2 linked regions of the Oryzias latipes genome follow. The protein of the gene in region 1 purifies or fractionates together with the protein of each later gene. This does not show direct contact. Links are inferred from orthologs where the notes say so. Each region holds a gene or a part of one and is shown in the gene's direction. Other genes may lie near its edges.

Region 1 (3,707 bases):
TCTGACATCACCTTTCACCTTTATATCAGGTAGATTAATAAAATGTGAAAAGTTTACTTCCTCCTTAACATCTATGTTTCTCTTTTAACTCATACTGAATATGTCAGTGATACCTTAAGATCTTAGATGCTCTTATGGTGGTTTTATTTCTTATACAACCTTAAATTTACTCTCACCCGCAGCACGGCACCTTGCGGAGATGGCGCTTTGTTCGACAAGTCATGTAGTGAGACGGGAGATGAAGTCCAGGGCCACTCGCCTCTATTTGAGAACATCAAGCAGGGCAAACTTCGAACGAAAGTGGAGAATGGTGAGATGTCTTGTCATAAAGGAAGTACAGGAGAAAGCAATTCGACTTCCTGTTCTTGGTAGTAAGAGATCCTGTTTCCAGGTGAGGGAACCATCCCAGTGGAGTCAAGTGACATTGTACCCACTTGGGATGGCATTCAGCATGGTGAAAGGCTGCGAACCATGAGCTGCAGCGATAAGATCCTGCGCTGGAACGTGCTTGGCCTCCAGGGGGCACTGCTCACACATTTCTTGCATCCCATTTACCTGAAGTCAATCACCCTTGGTAATTATGGACTTTGGCAAAAATAGTCTTGAGACACTAATGTTCTGGCACAAAAGTCACGTGAACACTGCTTTTTTCTACCGACTTATTTCTTTTTACTCATCTTCCAGGTTATCTGTACAGCCACGGTCATTTGACCCGTGCTGTCTGCTGTCGCCTTGCCAGAGATGGTGAAGCCTTTGCACAGAGTCTGCCCCATCCCTTCACGCTGAACCATCCCGAGGTAACGGCACAGCTAACGGACACTTGCAGGCCTGGTGATAAATTAGGACCATCGATGTTATTCTCATTAAGTTAATTGATGAAGCACTTTTGTTTGTCCTGCAAAACGTTTTTCTCTATCATGTAAATTAGATTCATTCATCAATTAACTGAAAGGACCTTGTCACATCACCAGAACAAAAGAGAAACTGAAGTTGCAGCCAAATTACTTGTTAGCTTTTGTTTCATTGTTCAGGGGGTGGGTGGGGGTGGGATTATATAAACTTGCTTCTTCCCACTCCTTTTCAAGCAATAAATCAAATTCTACTTATACTTTAGTTAATTATCTCTGTATTTCATTAAGCAAAGGTGATTTAAGTGATGTTTTTGTTTTGTTTTATTTTCTGTCTTTTTAATCTATGCATTTCATAATTTCTGTTATGAGTTTGATAAATATGTGTAAATTGTTTATTGCTTTGACTACGATGCTTGAAATAAATCAATAAATCAAATCTACTGGTAAAGCTAATTTGCACATTTTGATTGGTGTCACTCATGCTTACAAATATTTTGGGTTTTTGGATTAAAATCAGCACGGTTAACACTTTTTTGCTTTGTTTGTGGCGACTCCAGGTGGGAAGAGTGAGTGTGTACGACTCCACGCGTCACACAGGCAAGACCAAAGAGTCCAGTGTGAATTGGAGCCTTCCAGACCAGTACAATGTGGAAGTCCTTGATGGGACCAAAGGAAAACTAGATGGGTATGTCCTGGGTTAAGTATAAACCACGGACCTTCTTATGGTTTTAGGGATGTTGGAAAAAATCGATGTAGCCAAAATCATTTTTAATTAACCTTTTTACTCTAGAGCTTCTGCTTCAGTGTTTACGTTCTTTTAACTACTGTAACTCTTCAAACGTTTATGCAATTAACGTTATTCCAGCTAATTCTATTGCTGAGAGAAACAGTTTTACGCTGTTATGCAACACTTTAGTAATAAGAAAAGCCGATAAGAAACTTTTTTTTTCGATCACATGAATGGTCGTGGAGTTACGGTATGTCAAAGAGCGTGTTATATATGTCACAGCCCCATCTTTACTATTTAAGGGTTAAATATTTATAAGCAAATATTTAGGCTTCCACGGCGTGCGTTAATTTGTGAGGATGCACACTTTAACATTACTTAACCCTCTCTTATCAAGTTTATAGTTTTGTTTATAGTTATTTATAGTTTTGTTCACATGAAAGATGTATTAATATTCAGAAAAAGTTGTACTCTTTCAAAAAAAATTGTGATATATTGTCTTTGGATATATCACATTGGTGATATGTTTATGGTGATGCGAATCTCATCGCCAGACTCTTGCCAATGCATATCCCTAATGGTTATCCAGGGCTGTGTTGCGGGGTCCTCAGTCTAAGCCAGGGGTCCCCAAATCCAGGCCTCAGGAGCCGGCCTCCTGCTAGTTTTCCAGAAACTCTTCCTTATCTGCTGTTGATTACAGGTGTGTTTAGCCAGAATGGAGCTTCACTGGCACGATGATTGCAAGCATGTAGGACACCGGCCCTCGAGGCCTGGATTTGGGCACCGCTGGTCTAAACAGATTCTCAGCCCCCCTTTCCACGTACACTTCCTCCAGTTCTACTGGAGGAACCCCATGGTACTCTCAGGCCAGACATGGGGACAGCTCTTACCTGGGGCCTCTGCCCAGTGGCACATGCCCCCAATACCTCCACTGGCAGGGCTCTGACAGCCATCCTCTCTGGCATGTCTTCATTATGATTCTCTTTCCAGCTACTTCACACTTGAAGGAAAAAAAACACATTATCATATATTTGCAGCAAAAAGGGATTTACGGAATGAAGACAAGTTTCAAACTTAAAAACCAAAATAAAGATTTTCATTAAAAAAACGTTAAAAACAAAAGCAATAGTTTCACCCTGTTACATAATAAAGCATAAAATGACTAGATGGGATAGAATAGAAACTGAAATCAGTGAGGAATTGATATTTGTCTGCAAAACATTTTCAGCGATGCCGAGTCATGCATGGCAGGATGCTGGCTCGTCAACATGATCTGAAGAAAACCACAGATGGCAGCATTGCTTTGCTCTTGTTTTATAAGAAGTGAATTTTTCCTTACAAAAGATGCATATTATCATGAAAACAAAATTCAAATTTAAGTTATTTTGTGGGTAGTTTAGTGTAGTTTATTCTTTTTTTCTTTTTGTTAAGTAATTCTACCTTTTTTTTGAAAAATTTCCTAACAAATGTGGAGAAAGAGTTTTCTTAATCCTAGCCACACACTGACCCATGAAAAGAACAAAACTGACATTTTAGGTCATGATAGAGTCTCACTCAGCAGCACTAAGTGTAAAAAATGTATCAGTGTATGATTTTAATGAACATGCCTTTTTCCCCCGTTTACTTGATTTTCATTGTTAATCAGTAACCTGCTAAAGTTTTGTTCATTATCTCCCCTGTAGGAACAAACAGTCGGTGTCCCGGGTCTCCAAGTCCCGTCTGTTCTGCCTGTTCCGCTCTATGTGCCAGAAGTCAAATCGCGCTGACCTCCTGTCCCTGCCCTCCTACGCTCAGGCCAAAATATCAGCCACATCCTTCCAACTTGCCAAACAACACTTCTTTCAAGCTCTCAGCGTCCACGGCTATGGAGCCTGGATCGGCAAGCCGCTGGAAGAGAAGAGCTTCGAGTCTGTGGAGGGAACGGGAAACAACGGAGCGTGCACCTCTGTGGAGTTTGGGGGCGGTAGAAACGAGGGGGCAGTGGATTACAAGCCGGCAGAGGCGTAGATCAGTGCTTTTCTTTTCTTTTTGAATGAACATGCAGGGATTAAACGGGAAGGAGAGATGCTGAAAGGGTTAAAGATGTGTAGGCCAGGAAGATGGAATGATGAAAGGCAAGGAAAGTTGGA
Region 2 (4,455 bases), on another chromosome or scaffold:
TTCAAAACTGAATTAAGATTCCTTTGTTGAAGAAGGAAAATTCTGTGTGGACTTCTGAATCTCTTTTATGGTTTCTAACCGAAGCAGTAATTTCTCCTTCCTGCTTCTTTTCTTTGTCATGTTGTTATAGAGTTTTTACCTGATCTGTATTATTTCAGAGCCAAATAAATGAAAGTATCATTGTTTTTCTAGTCTGTTGGTTGGATCAGTGTTTGAATCTGAAAAGAAAAGACAGAATATGTAAGATGGGGCTTTAGAACAAGACACACTGGTTTCACCGTCTCTGTGACTACAGCAGGTTTCTGCCAGAGCCTCTACAGGCGTTTATGGCTACTCTGCTCAGCGACTGACCACCTCAAAAAACTGGATATGGATAGAGAAAGCGTGGTTTTCTCTCCTGTGAGGTTCCTGTCTACAGCAGTAAACAAAGAGCAGCAAAAATGTGCAATTCTATTTCATACTATTGGTTTTATCAGGACTATAAACAGGACAGATTTTCTGTAGATTCTGTAGATTAAATCTTCGGTTGACACTGAAAAAATAAAAATGAAATAAAAATCTATGGTTTTAAGCTAATAAACCTTACAATGCAGGTCATGTTACAGCTATGTCATTTTATAAGAGAGATCTGGTTTTTTCTTAAATTAAAATCAGATGAGAAGTTTAGAAATTAGACAAGGATTTGGTCATTTGAAGATTTTTGTTTTATAAAAATAAACTGATTTGTTAAAACAAAATTTATTCGTGAGAAAAACAATGGAACATCCCACGTAACAAAATAAAAGGTTTTTGTTGACTTGATTTAAAATATAATTTACATTTGGAGTCCATATTTCGTGCTCCAAATATGAATCACACAGAAGCAAGATTAATATTTCCATAGTTGTTACTCGAAATTTGAACTTCTGATTGTTTATGGAACTTACATAAATGCTGAATTGAATTCATGAAGGAGAAATTGTGAAAAATTTTCATTTATTCATTTATTCATTCATTCATTCGTTCGTTCATTCATTTGTTCATTCATTCATTCGTTCGTTCATTCATTCATTCGTTCATTCATTTGTTCATTCATTCATTCGTTCTTTCATTCATTCATTCATTCATTCATTCATTCGTTCGTTCATTCATTTGTTCATTCATTCATTCGTTCGTTCATTCATTCATTCATTTATTCATTCATTCATTCGTTAATTCATTCATTCATTCATTCATTCATTCATTCATTCATCTTCTTCCGTTTGCTCCCTTTCGGGGTCACGGGGCTGCCAGAACCTATCTCGGCCACTTGTGGGCGAAGGCAGGGGGCACCCTGGACAGGTCGCCAGTCTCTCGCAGGGTTGGAATAATTTTAATAATTTAAATTTGATTACAGCAACAACAACAAAAACTTACACTGATTTTATGAATGTTTATGACACAGTGGCCACTTATAATCCTTGTGGACAATGGGTTGATGTTAACCACAATGTAATTTGAGTAAAGGAAACCAACTAGAGTGACAAAAGACAGAAATCTAGTTCTCATCCCAGTAGAATAAAAAAAATCATCATGCAGAGGGGCGTTGATAAAAAAGGATCAACTCACTGCCAGGAGCTAACAGTTCATTTCACCTCCAGAACAGAGGGTGGCGCTGTTGCGCGGTAGAAGAGTTCAAAGCTTCCGCTGTTGCCGCTTTGCAGGAATCTGCACTGCAGACTTGACTGAGCGGACGGTAGGTGTTGAATGTAGTCGTTGATGTTAGAATGAAAATGTTTGCTTTTTTAATATTTATTTTGCATACGTACTTCGTGTCTTACTGGCGTTAGTTAGTTTAGCCTCAATGCGTCTGTCAACGTTTACACCGGTTGATGAATGAAGCTAACGTTAGCATACTAGCATTTTCGTTGTAGTTGTCTCAGTTGCAACTGATGATTCAATGTGGGATCAATTGGGGAAAAATATTGCATGGAGGATCACATTATTGCTTGATGATAGGAGCTGCACGTGGCTAGCTGAAGTATAAAAACGGTCAAACATTTCCCCCGTGACTTAGTAACGTTAGTGTTGTTATCGTTTCTCCCTGTGTGTGTGTCGGCGCACATATGTTTTTCTGTTTAGGGTTTCTTTTACGACACGCACGCAGGCAGCGGTTTACTGTAGCTTCCTGAACAACACTGTATGTTTTGATGTGACGCCTGCCAGTGATTCTGCGGTTGTTCAGAGCCACCTCTGTGTTTTACAGGCAACACTAAGGGACCAGGGCACACCTGAAGCTCGCAGGTAAAGCCCACGCGGAGCTGGAAGCTCGCCACTATGGCGGACATCAAGAATTTCCTGTACGCCTGGTGTGGAAAGAAAAAGCTGACTCCCAACTACGAAATCCGGGCGGCGGGCAACAAAAACCGGCAGAAGTTCATGTGTGAGGTCGGTCTGCATTCACAGCCAGCTGGTTTGTAACCAGACTCTCCCGTAACGTCTCTGTTTGCTCCTGAAGGTGCGGGTGGATGGCTTCACCTATGTGGGGATGGGAAACTCCACCAGCAAGAAGGATGCTCAGACCAACGCCGCCAGGGACTTTGTCAACTATCTGGTCCGAGTCGGGGAGATGAAGGCTGAAGAGGTTCCAGCTCTGGGGGTCAGAAAGCTTTTTTTTACGCTTTTTTAAAGGAGATGTAAAAACAAAGCAAACCAGAGGAACATCTTTCCAATCAATAGAGCATCCAGCTATGTTCAGGCCAGAACAGAAAACCATTTAGAAAGTCAAGATCCATAAAGACTGGGAGACTGCAAGGATTAGTCAAAAGTTTACCAGTGGGCAGCGAACACTTAACCGGAACTGACGGCCTTTTGTTGTTCTACCCAGGCCGTGGCTCCAGAACCCAACCAGCCCGAAGGACCTCCGGGAAGCTTCGGAACCCTCCCAGCCAGCGGGCCGCTGCCCCCCCACCTGGTGGTGAAGGTGGAGAAAGGTTTGAGCCGAACACACCTAACCTGCTGCTCCCTGACTTCAGTCCTCTTCATCCTGTGGTTTCTGTTTTCAGAGGCTGATGCCTTCATCAATGCACCTCCAGGACAGACTGAACAAGGGTTCCCTCCTAGAGGTGGCAATGGGGGAGGAGGAGGAGGGGCTGAGTGGGACAGAGGAGCCAACCTGAAGGAGTACTACGCCCGGAGGGATGAGCAGGAGGCTCAAGCGGTACTGGAGCCAGCTATGTGCCATGAAGCTGCTTTTCAAGAAGATCCCGGTCCTTTTGAGCTGTGTTGTCACATGTTGCAGTCACATGACTGTGACAACATTAGGCGGCTTCATAACAGGTGGGACTGCTCTGCCTTAGTACCGGTCCCACTAATGCGGCTCTCCTGTTGTAGACGCTGGAATCCGAGGAGGTAGACCTGAATGCAAACTTGCACGGAAACTGGACCCTGGAGAACGCCAAGGCCCGTCTCAACCGGTTCTTCCAGCAGGAGAAGATCACCTCCGAGTACACGTACAGCCAAGTGGGACCCGATCACAACAGGTCTGGATCAGCGCTCCCCTACAAGCCGTCTGACCAGATCCAGCCTGACGAGCCCAGGTCTCTCGTCAGTCTGGATCTGGTCTTTTCTGCTGTTCAGATCTGTCAGGTGGGGGTGGGAGAGTGGGGTATTGACAAATGAACTCTAATTAAAAAGCTGCAGCTTCTCGGGTTGGTAAATGTTTCCTCTGAAAGGGGCCACACTCCTGGGCCCGCCGCTCACTGGTAGCACCTGTGTGTTTTTCTGCCGGACTGCTGCAAACCCAGAGAGCTCCTGCGTGTGCCGGCTACACCGGAGAGCCCTCACAGCCACATGCTCAACTCAAAGCCTGCAGAGCGACACTAGAACTCACGACCACGCTGAGGAAATACATGGGGATGGCGTTTAGGTTCTCTAAAGCCCCCCCATGGGTGCAGCTCCGTGGTCTCTGGTCGTGATTTGTGGTGTTGCTCTTCATTGTAGGCTTTAAAACCTGAAAGTCTGGCAGAAAAACGCCCAGGTTTCTTTCTGAGGACACATCAGGTGAGTCTGCTCCTGAGGGATGCTTGGCTTTAGGCTTTTACTTTGAAAGGCACGGGATGTAACTCTGCCATGTTATTTGTCTGCAGGAGCTTCATAGCAGAGATGCAGCTGTTCGTGAGGAAGCTCGGCAGAAGTAAGTTTTGACATGTCTGTACATGAGACCACAGAGACGGTTCTGTGCTGAGATTCTTTACGCTTATTTTAGCAGAGCCAGTAAATAGAAATTGGTGCTTTCCTTAACAAATAGAAAACCTTTTCTCTTGTGTTTTAAGTATCAGAAAGCTTGTATTTTTTAGCATTTTGAAATTTTTCTTAAAACTAAATGACAAAAGACTAATACCGGCAGAAACCAATTCTTTTAATAAATATGAAACAAACGAATCACCCCTCAAATAGGAATAGTTTACTTTCTCCCGCCCCATTGTGCCTTCAACC

The links.
Region 2: the proteins of adar (region 1) and dhx9 purify together in Homo sapiens (affinity purification with western blotting; 3 studies listed by BioGRID and IntAct, with this or other methods). This does not show direct contact. The link is inferred for Oryzias latipes from reciprocal best matches to the Homo sapiens genes ADAR and DHX9.

The regions. Positions count from the first base shown.
Region 1 is NC_019874.2:18,636,761-18,640,467, forward strand, and holds part of adar (double-stranded RNA-specific adenosine deaminase), read left to right. Parts: coding exon 1-29; intron 30-182; coding exon 183-310; intron 311-391; coding exon 392-574; intron 575-684; coding exon 685-797; intron 798-1,408; coding exon 1,409-1,536; intron 1,537-3,260; coding exon 3,261-3,585; 3' UTR 3,586-3,707. UniProt on the Homo sapiens protein: Catalyzes the hydrolytic deamination of adenosine to inosine in double-stranded RNA (dsRNA) referred to as A-to-I RNA editing.
Region 2 is NC_019875.2:12,671,793-12,676,247, reverse strand, and holds the start of dhx9 (ATP-dependent RNA helicase A), read left to right. Parts: upstream 1-1,616; 5' UTR 1,617-1,714; intron 1,715-2,224; 5' UTR 2,225-2,295; coding exon 2,296-2,406; intron 2,407-2,476; coding exon 2,477-2,617; intron 2,618-2,845; coding exon 2,846-2,951; intron 2,952-3,023; coding exon 3,024-3,178; intron 3,179-3,351; coding exon 3,352-3,500; intron 3,501-3,960; exon of another isoform or gene 3,961-4,020; intron 4,021-4,106; coding exon 4,107-4,153; intron 4,154-4,455. UniProt on the Homo sapiens protein: Multifunctional ATP-dependent nucleic acid helicase that unwinds DNA and RNA in a 3' to 5' direction and that plays important roles in many processes, such as DNA replication, transcriptional activation, post-transcriptional RNA regulation, mRNA translation and RNA-mediated gene silencing.